Linked DNA regions of Arabidopsis thaliana. The protein of the gene in region 1 interacts with the protein of each later gene in a pairwise test. Each region holds a gene or a part of one and is shown in the gene's direction. Other genes may lie near its edges.

Evidence for each region. The genes of interacting proteins can lie anywhere in the genome.
Region 2: the proteins of PUP4 (region 1) and HHP4 interact in a protein complementation assay, tested with the Arabidopsis thaliana proteins (one large-scale study listed by BioGRID).

The regions. Positions count from the first base shown.
Region 1 is NC_003070.9:10,971,786-10,977,503, forward strand, and holds PUP4 (purine permease 4), read left to right. Parts: upstream 1-2,659; 5' UTR 2,660-2,795; coding exon 2,796-3,944; 3' UTR 3,945-4,012; exon of another isoform or gene 4,013-4,278; intron 4,279-4,489; 3' UTR 4,490-4,513; downstream 4,514-5,718.
Region 2 is NC_003075.7:17,698,156-17,703,452, forward strand, and holds HHP4 (heptahelical protein 4), read left to right. Parts: upstream 1-2,478; 5' UTR 2,479-2,730; intron 2,731-2,830; exon of another isoform or gene 2,831-2,851; 5' UTR 2,852-3,060; coding exon 3,061-3,326; intron 3,327-3,418; coding exon 3,419-3,671; intron 3,672-3,759; coding exon 3,760-4,413; 3' UTR 4,414-4,797; downstream 4,798-5,297. Other genes in the region: NAGS2 (N-acetyl-l-glutamate synthase 2), read right to left, coding at 31-118, 316-681. UniProt on the Arabidopsis thaliana protein: May play a role in abiotic stress response.

The DNA.
Region 1 (5,718 bases):
CGAAAGTAATTAGAGGTGAAAACTAATCAATTCCAAAGAATGTGGGGTGATCACTTCGAATTATTGTTAATTTGTGTCCTCACACATCTTTAAAGTTTTTTGTGCAAAAATTCACTTTGATGATTTAACTGGAAAAAATAAAAACAATTTTATGATAGTTTCTTCATTATTTAAAAATTTTCCTCATCAAATATAGGTACATCTTGTAGTTCATGGTTATTTTTTCCTTTGTTTGTAAGCTTTTCAAATCAATATTAATGAAATGAAAAAACAAAATTATTGTTATTTGATAAGAAATTTAACTAATTTTAAATGAAAAAAATTTAACAAAAACTAAATAAAAACATTGAAATTAATGTGAAAAAGTGAGAGAGAGAAACTCAAATTGAATTTGAAAACATTCAATGCAAAATGTTCTGGGCTTCTGTTATTAAGTTTTTTTTTTTTTTGAAAATCAAAACTCTATTTCCAAAACCCTTTTGTACTCTCCCACATTTTTTCACCAATTACATTTGTCAGCTTGCTTCTTTCAATATCCATATCTACAGTACTTATATATGATAAAAAAAAATAAAACTAACTTATAGATTTTAAATAGATTTGTAATTATCCAATAGTTAAAGAATATATACAAAAGAATCAATAGGTGACATGATCATAACAGTAAAATCTCTTTAACAACTTTGACCTCCGATTATTTAGCTTCCTGTTATTGCTTTTATAGTTATGTAGGTTTATCATGTCTGTTTTAGAAATCATGAAGATTATTTAGTTGACTTGTTGTTACCAAAGATTCATGTTTATGCTCGAAATAATAGAACAACTATTTCATGAAAATTCTCAAAAATATGAACTATCATAACAAAAATCCCTAAGAAACTGAGAAATATTTTTCAGTTTCAAAACACTATTTTTATACGTATAACACTAAAAAAGGCGAGCTATATGGTAAATCTAATTTATTTTTATTCTCTTAAACAGCTTACTATTTCGTAAGATTTGAACCTTTTATTACATCTTATTTCATTTTATATTAAGGAGTTTTCTCTTTATTTTTGTATTTACACACTAAACAGTCTACATCTAGTTTTCCTAGATCATTCATCGCTGCCACAAAATCTCTGCACTCTATTTCTGAAACTAGGGGTCTACGCGAAAATATTTTGATAAGATTGTTTGTTATAAATGGATACAATTAAATGTGACCAATTAGATTATACAATGGAAATAGAAGAAAAAGACAAGAGAAATATTATCCTTTGGTTACTCTTCTTTTCTATGTTTATAACTAAAATTTTTGTATCCTCTCATTTTTCTTGATAGGTGAAAATTAATACAAACCCAAAGTAAAATTCAACTTAGCTGAAAAAGTATTATTATATTGTTCAAAACACCAGTCGAAGCATTAGACTTCCTGTCTACAAACATAGTTACATGAAATACACACCACTATAGAGTAGTAAATAAAATCTTATTAATTATTAATCAAGAGGTAACGGTTAAAATAAATTTATTAAAATATTTATGTCATTCACTATATATTTACATTAATGTGTGTGTGTGTTTATGCGTGGAGACTTAACGTTACACACATTTTTTTTTTTTTTCTTACACACATTAAATTTTTTTTTTTAGTGGTCAACTGGAAAAATGTGTTTTGTATTTAGTAAATCTCTTTCCTTCTTTTGAAAATACTTTTGAAGAATAGAGTATGTATTTTCCAATAGTGAAGTAATTCAAAATTATCAAAACCATTAAGTTTATGGTGAAAAATATTTTGTAACCCAAAAAAATGAATTGTACTGAAATTTAAATTTAGATTAGATGGTTTGGTTCGAGCTTGTGATCTTTAATTTCATATGATTATTAGTTTTAAGTTAGTGAACGCTATTTTTTTTGTTCGTCTGGTTAGAACTATGTATGTGTAAATAAATGTTTATTAATTTAATTAAGTTCTTGGCCCAAAACCTATGAGAATTAATTAGTTGATAAATTACATGTGTCAAATAGGTTATAGTTAGTTTCTAAAATATTTAGTCAAAGATTTTTTTTTTGACATCTATCAAATAGGTTATAAATTATATGTGTTTTAATTTTATTGGTTAAAGTAAATGATCATATAAGTTATATTATTGAATAAATATATACTAAATATTACTAGTGTTGGTTAAAAACTATGGAAAATTTTATTGTTATAGAAATATTTTTGATGGATAAACATTGTTTATCTATTAAATATATAAAAGGGAAAGTTTCTTCTATATAAACTCATGATGATAAGATTTTGAGCAAAATTACCAATTTTGTTTTCTTCTTTTGTCAATACAAAGGCTTATAACATTAATTGCTTTTATTTTGTGGTAAAGAGATATCAACAGATTTTAGATAATAAATTCATATTTCTTAATGAAAACATTGTTATTGAGGGAAATTTTTTTATCATTGTATAGAAGATTCCCTCTCTAGAAGAATATTCATATGAAATGAGATGCTGGATACCCAACTAAATATTTGTATTTTTTAGAAATTTTGTTAGTAACGACTGAATGTAGTGCATCACATTAATTGAAAATGAATTTATTTGACTATCAATATAATAATAAATGTGTTAGTATCTTTGATTTCGATAAAATCCACAATATATACATGAGTGATCAGTGTGTATTGTGTTGTTGGAGACTGAACCATCAACGCTTTTTCGACACTTCTTCTTCTTCCTCCTTTCTCTCTTCATGCAAAATCACAGTTACAAGAAATAAACAAAAGATTATAAATCAAAACATAAAGAGACAAAAATGAGTGATGGTCGAGTTAACGCAGATCCTCAACAAGAAGAGAACATGGTTAAACCACCGGTTAAGAGATCTCTCACTCTCCTCATCGTGACTTACTTTTTTCTCTTCTTCGGCTCTATCGCTTCGAGCCTTCTCGCGAAGTACTATTTCGTCTACGGTGGCTCGAGCCGGTGGGTCTCCACGTGGGTTCAATCTGCTGGCTTCCCTCTCCTCCTCATCCTAATCTACTTCCCTCACTACGTTCTCAAAACCACCACTCGCCGTCCTTTCACGCGCTTCACGCTCCGCCATCTCATCTTCTCCGTGTTGATCGGGCTTGTTCTCGGTTTCAACAACTTCCTCTTCTCATGGGGAACCTCGTACCTTCCGGTGTCCACGTCATCGCTTCTCCTCTCGACACAACTCGTCTTCACTCTCATTTTGTCTAGGATCATAGTGAAACAGAAGATCACTTTCTCAAACCTCAACTGCGTTGTCCTGTTGACGTTAAGCTCTGTTTTGTTGGCTCTTGATTCGAGTAAAGATAAACCGTCCGGTTTAACCAAAACCAAGTATTTCATCGGGTATGTATCCACGATCGGAGCCGGTTTACTCTTCGCTCTTTACCTCCCCGTGACGGAGAAGCTATACCGTACCGTTTATTGTTACGCGATGGTCATGGAGGTGCAACTGGTGATGGAATTCGCAGCGACGGTTTTCGCGACAATCGGTATGGCTTGCGAAGGCGGGTTTAAGGAAATGGTTAAGGAAGCGAACCATGTTTTCACCAAAGGACCAACATTTTATTGGACGTTTGCGATACTAGCAAATGTGGTGACGTGGCAGCTCTCTTTCGCAGCCACGTCAGGGATGGTTTACTTGACGTCAGGTATCACCGGAGGTATCTGCATGACGGCGTTGCTCGCGATGAATGTGATAGGAGGTGTGGTGGCTTACGGTGACGTGTTTGGTGGAGTGAAGATTGTGTCGACGGTGCTATGTATTTGGGGATTCTCATCTTACACATACGGGATGTATATGAAGATGAAGAAGGAGGAGAAGGAGAAGGGAGAATATTCCGGCGTAAAGACGACGGAAGACAGCGGAGAGATGGAGGTGGAAATGGGAAATGTTAAAGATGACGTGGCGGCGGCGGATGATAGGGCTTGAAGATATCTGTGTGATTGAGACGGCCGTTATGATTATTATTAGGAAGGAAGCCAACAAAAAAAAAAAAAGTAGTAGTATCTTTTTGTGTTCTTTCTTTTTCTCACCTTATGTTTTTTTAGTAATGCATTTGCTTTTGTTTTTCTTGTTTTTTTAGGTTGTTTTGTTTTTCCTTTTCTGGTTATTTTTATGAATTATCCTCTTATCATGGCCACAACTAATGATGTTGTACACTTTTTAAGTGTGGATTTTCCAATGTCGGTTGATAAGTATGTATTTTTCTGTTATCTATGGGCTTTTGATTGGTTTTATTAGATATATGGTCTGTTATTTTCCCAGTCTCCAGTGACATTGATACGAAAATTATACACCCTGTGATGACAAACAACAACACCGACGATATATTGAGAATAAGGCGACGATAAGTAGTGTTGATTGTATCGGATGCTGAAAATAAGAGTAACTGTGACAATTTATTTTTTTATCCGGTGTGACTCTTGGAGTGGTTTCGGTTTTTTTATTTTTATTTTTATTGTTGATAAGAATAGGCCAAAAAAAAAAAAAAAGTAGGCCCAAAGGAATAGGTCCAGTGTAGTTATTTAGTGAACAAAAAAAATATTAACTTTCACCTATACAAAAATGTGAATTTTTTTTTTTGTTGGAAACACTTTTTACAAAAAGATGTGATATTATTTGATCTAAGAATATCCAGAATGTGGTTTACAAATGTATACCACCTGTTTAATGTTTTGACCATGTTAATTTCCTATAGCTTGCTTCAAATCCAACTCTCGATTATACTTACAGTTCAGAGAACAACAAAACTAATCCTCTGTTTTACAACACATGACTACATTGTTAGTGTTGGTGGCAATGCCAAAGCTCTAGGAGATAATTTTTTCAATTTTTTGTTCTTGGTAATGAAAGTTTTTGAGAGAGCATGTATTTATTTCATTTATAAGGATTTAATAGATTGTGTTTTATTAGTGTTTGACTTTTTATCATAATATAAAATTTGACGGGCGCTGGTAGCCTGGTACATGTCCTTGGCGCCGTCGAGTTGAGTTGCACTCTGGTAGAATCTTATTCCAAATTACTTCATGACATTCTCCAAGACAGAATGATCTCCTCTCTTTAAGAAATTTACGATTATACTGAAGTATGATGAATTTTACAAATGATATACTATTATACAAAACATATAACAATATATATACCTGTTACACTTACAGCCAATAACATATAAAAGAACAAAAAAGGAAAAAAGTTGTCGTTTATGGGAAACAACATACCAAACAAAGAAAATGAAAGTGCTCACGATCTCTAAGATTCCAATTAGACAAATATTAATGATGATCATGATAGTTAATTAGAGTGTTAATAAAATGAGTGAGGAAATAAAGAAGAGACACGCTTAATGGTGATGATGCAGCTTGGCATTAACTCGGTGTTATTTACGAACATTGTCTCCTTAATGCTCCTTTAGTTTTTGTATTTTTCTTTGAGCACTTTAAAATGAAAAAGATGGTTTTTCTTATTATCCTTTTTTCTTATGGCTTCTGGCTCTTCACTTATATTTTAAACTCTAGTAAAAATTTCAGAGCCCACAAAATCCAAAATTTTTGTTGCTTTTGATTCAACCACAAATTATATCGAAATTGTGATCCAGTGTAGGGTAATGTATGTTTCCATGACGTGTTTTAAACACCACGCTACAATGTTAACATATCAGTAATTAATTTCCTTAATTTATAAATCTCATAGTTCCTCATAAATG
Region 2 (5,297 bases), on another chromosome or scaffold:
ACATCGTGACAAAGCTTATAATATTCTGACCTCTCTCAGCCAGAAGCTGGTCGATTTGCTCCTGAGTTCCAGGAACTAAAACAAACCTTATTCCTAGATGATGAAGAAACGCTATGTCCTGCACATATATCAAATCACTTCACCTTCTACTCAAATACGAGAACTGAAAACTCAAGCACATTGCAAAGAAAAGATCATATAACAAAGCAAAATAAGAATAGTAACAACTTTAGTTGAGGCAAGCAAACAATCGAACACCTTGCGTGCTTTTTTCTCATAAATCAAAGTATATAATACGGTGAAGAAAGACGGTACCTTCAAAATGGCATCACAAGAAGAGCCGGCGATGATCTCGCCGGAGATAATAACGACGAATGTGCAGCCACGGTGAGCCCAAAGATAAGGCCATGCTTCACGGAACCAACGCACAAACTGTTTGTCGTCAACTGGATGCTCAGCCTCCACATCGCCGGCTGCAGTCACCGCGTAGTCAAACATATTGCATTTCGCCGCCGTTATAGAACTAACCGGCTTAAACCATGAACAGTTAAACCGGAATTGAGTAGGGTTTAGCTTATTTTTTGGTTTGAATGACGAAAAATTCGACTTTGATTGGCGAAAGTGGTAAGGAACATAGTAGCTAGAAGTAGAAGAAGAACCCACTAAAGCTCCTCGCTCCATCTTCCTTAGACTTCGATGAGAGAAAGAATTCAAATAAATACTAAATTGTTATTGTAACTAAACCGGCAGGTGACGGCTGATTACGGTCGGAGAAGGCGGCAGTAGTACCGTAGTGGGACCCACGGTAAGTAGGTATTTTATTTATTGTTTATTTTTCCATATTTTCTTCAATAGTCTTTTTCTATTATTATTTATTGTTTATTTTTCCATATTTTCTTCAATAGTCTTTTTCTATTATTATTTATTGTTTATTTTTCCATATTTTCTTCTTTAGTCTTTCTCTATTACTATTTGACGGAACTCTTTGAATGTCTGGTCGTTACAAGCTTAAGTTGTGTCCCCACATGGAAGTTATTCGGTTGGGTCCATCGAAGGAAAATTGATTGAACCGGTCTGGTCATTCTCTCCCAAACTATAGAACCAATTTCGGTCTGCATCGGAGTTTCGAAGTCGCGGACTTATCAGAGTGGGCTTTTTAAGGAATGTTTTTAGAATATTTACCAGCCCAATCCCATTTTAAGTATGTCCAGATCTTAATTTGGCGAGCCTTTTTATATATGGTGAACAACTGATTCTAATGTGTATGTTTCACTTTTATTAGAGAAAAAATGTGAAAAGATTTAATGTGTATGTTTCACTTTTATTAGAGAAAAAATGTGAAAAGATTCTTAAAAGTATTTATTTATGCTAATTGGCAAAACTAAAACATCAATTTATGTACATCATTTTAGTTCTTCCTCTAAGATTTGATTGATTTGTATTAATGGCTCTGAATACTGATACTAGTTTCGTTGGCAAGTAAGATAAGTGATAACTTTGATAAAGAGTGTCAAATTACAAGTGCCACAATTTGGAGTACGTAACCAAATTGACATAAAACTTGAATAGGTGAAAAAACGAGCCAGAAAAAAAACGAATATCTTCTGCTTATCCGAATAAAACGAAAGTAATATTCTTACAAGATCCTTCCTTATGAAGTAGTGCCAGTAGATATTTTTATCATTGTGATTGCGACCTGTTTGTTGCGATTCATTTATGCCAATTCACGTTACTATTTATGTTGTGATAAAATCTTTTATTTTTCTTCTTCTTTCCAAATACTTAAGTATGCATGATTATTGATCCGTACAAGCATAAACGAAGAGCTATAAAGTCTCCAACGGTAAACGTACGTGAACCAAAATAACAATTCAATATTATGGTTCGAATTATTCTGTGTATTTTATGTAAGAAAATAACCAAAACCGACTCGAAACAAAACAAAAAAATCTTCTGAAATGTGAATCTTTATTTCGGAAAATTCTTAACGATAGATAGTTTTTGCTTTAAAATTAAATCCAAACATAAACTAGAACTGAAATTCAATTCGTTGTCAATATTTTCTATACAAAAAAAAAAAAGAAATCCGACCAAATAAACAAAACCATAAATAGACATCTCCATTTTTAGTTGAAAGATGATTAAATGCAATAAATGTGCCACAATCATAAATTTTTCCTTTTCACCTAATTGAAAATTTTAATCATTAATAAGAAGAATCCATGGAGCACAATTATTTTATTTTTTATTTTTTGCTCTCATATGGTATGTTAAATTAATTTTCCCTTAATTTAAATTCCCCATATCAAATAAGTTTTTTTTTTTTTGAGAAAGACTTGATTTCATAGGAGAAATATTTGTTAATATTTTCGACAAAACATTTTCTCTGTTTGATGTATTTCCATCCTCGTACAATAAATACTCTAGCTATTAAATTCTTAGCCCAAACGAAAATAAAGAAAAATAAAAGGGTCCTACTAATAAACAAAACAAAACTAGTGGTCCCAATTTGAAATATATAAAAATATATAAAATTCATAAAGCTTTGTGGCTTCAGAGCTTCCACTTCCATCGTCGTCTTCTATTTTTTCTTCTTTCTTCGATTTCATACCAAAACAAGAACTCTCTGTTTTCGACAAAAACGAAACCTTGAGATCTATTTTGATTGACTTTTAAGAAAGAGAGAGATCTTTCTTAGAAGATTTTGTCTCGTCGGCATTGAAGATCCAGGTAACAAAATCTCACCTTTTCTCTCCTAATTTCACGAAATCGAAGAAAAATTCTCATAATTCTCTTAATTACTTATCTCTCAATTTCTTAAATCTTACAGGGTTTGTCTTTCGAAATTCAGGTAATTTTCTCAAATCCATTTATGGATTGAAGCTTTAGGTAATGAATGAGCTGAATCTGCATATAAAAATCGATACTTTCATTATCCAGAACAAAACAAGATTTAGCATAAACGTTCAAAATTGAAACTTTGATTCCTAACTTCTTGGAATGATTCAGATTGAGCTAGATTTAGATCTGTATGATTGATATTATGGGTTTGGTTTGTTTATGAGTAGAGAGAAAATGGGTGATGAGGCAGAGATCAAGGAACATTTAAAGCCACAAGCTTCATCTGAAACAATGGACAAGAAACATAATGTGAAAGGGAAGAGGTTATGGCAGAAAGTCAAGTATCAATTGGTGGAGTTTCATTCATTGCCTGCTTATTTAAGAGACAATGAGTACATCATTGGTCATTACCGATCCGAATGGCCGATCAAACAGATTCTTCTCAGCATCTTTACCATTCATAATGAGACTTTGAATGTTTGGACGTAAGTGTTGAATCATGTTTCTTGATGTATCCTTGTTTAAAGTTCAAGAGCCTTGAGTGTGTTTGTGTGTGTGTGTTCTTTGGGATTTGCAGGCACTTGATTGGGTTTTTCCTGTTTTTGGCGCTCACTATATACACTGCAACGAAAGTACCGAGTGTCGTGGATCTTCATTCGCTTCAACACCGTTTACCCGATTTGTTGAGGAAAACAGATCTCCACAAACTTCATTCTGAGCTCATGGCTCGCCTTCCTTCTAGTCCATCTAGTTGGCATGTGATGGACCTTCTTTATAACTGTTTGCCTGAAAGATTTTCTCATGGCAACTACACTGACATGTGTGTTCTGGTAAGAAAAGACTCAATCTTTCTCTCTATTCCTGCAGATTACTGTTTCAAAATGTGGCCAAGTTCATATCTTTGTAATTGCATTGCAGCATTCTGTGAGGGAAGATCTTGCAAACTTGATAGCTCCTTTGATCTTCAGGCCAATTACTCGATGGCCGTTTTATGCATTTCTAGGTGGTGCTATGTTCTGTCTATTAGCAAGCAGCACGTGCCACCTCCTCTCATGTCACTCCGAGCGAGTCTCCTACATAATGCTTAGGCTTGATTACGCCGGCATCGCAGCTCTAATAGCGACTTCCTTCTACCCTCCGGTTTATTACTCCTTCATGTGTGATCCTTTCTTCTGCAACCTCTACTTAGGATTCATAACCATCTTAGGAATCGCCACTGTGCTTGTTTCTCTCCTCCCGGTTTTCCAAAGCCCGGAGTTTCGGGTGGTGAGGGCGTCTCTGTTCTTTGGAATGGGATTCTCTGGCTTAGCTCCGATTCTTCACAAGCTGATAATCTTTTGGGACCAACCTGAAGCCCTTCACACGACAGGTTATGAGATTTTGATGGGTTTGCTTTATGGGTTAGGAGCTCTGGTTTATGCAACTAGGATCCCAGAGAGATGGATGCCGGGTAAATTCGATATAGCAGGACATAGCCATCAGTTGTTTCATGTTCTGGTTGTTGCTGGTGCGTTCACGCACTATAGAGCTGGGCTAGTGTATCTTAAGTGGAGAGATATTGAAGGATGTTGAAGATGAAGATTGAAGATTAGATGGAATCTTTGAATCTTGTTTGTAGTAGCTTCATATAAAAGTTGGATTATGTAAAGTCTTATATGTAATCAAACGTTTAATTGTTTCCTTTATTCAACAAAGGATTTATATTGTTAATCCACATATGTATTACTGGTTAAAGAAGCTGAAGGATTCATATTTTTAGATGATTCCAGTCTTGATTGCAGCATTCAAAGTATCATAATCCAGTGTCAACCTCATATAGCCTCCTTGTGAACCTGACACAAGCCTAATTGTTCCATGGCAGAGGATACTTTGATTCTGATCTTCTTCTTGAAGGTTTCCCCTGATTGGTATACATTTCGAATGATCCATAAGTGTTGATAAACTACAAGTACACAAAATATGAAACAAAATCTATGCACATCAATAAAAATTCAGAAATCAATAAAATTTACTCTGAAAATGCAGAACATTTATAAGTGTTTGTTATTGTTTTCAATATATGAGAGGAGGAGCTCCCCTACTATTTTTATATTTTTAGCCAATGAGAGAGCTCCACTTCATACCCCACTTTTACCAATCGTGCTATTTCACAGCCACTCTCACTCATGTCGCGTTGAGCGCGTGTCTACGATTTCTAAAGGGGTTAATCCACAAAAATCATGCATTTTTGGATCCACGCACCTCATTCTCAAAAACCCATCGCGTGTCGTATTTTTTTTGGTTTTCTTCTCTAAACCAAATTAAACCGAACCGAGATCAATTTGAATTTCAAAACCAATGTAAACCCATCGCTGTGAAAACAAAAAGCTCGGCCACTGTAACAACAAAAATGGAGACGACACAACTTGGAAGAGAAATCAACTCGAAATAGCCAAGAGAATGTTCGTAAACCCCCT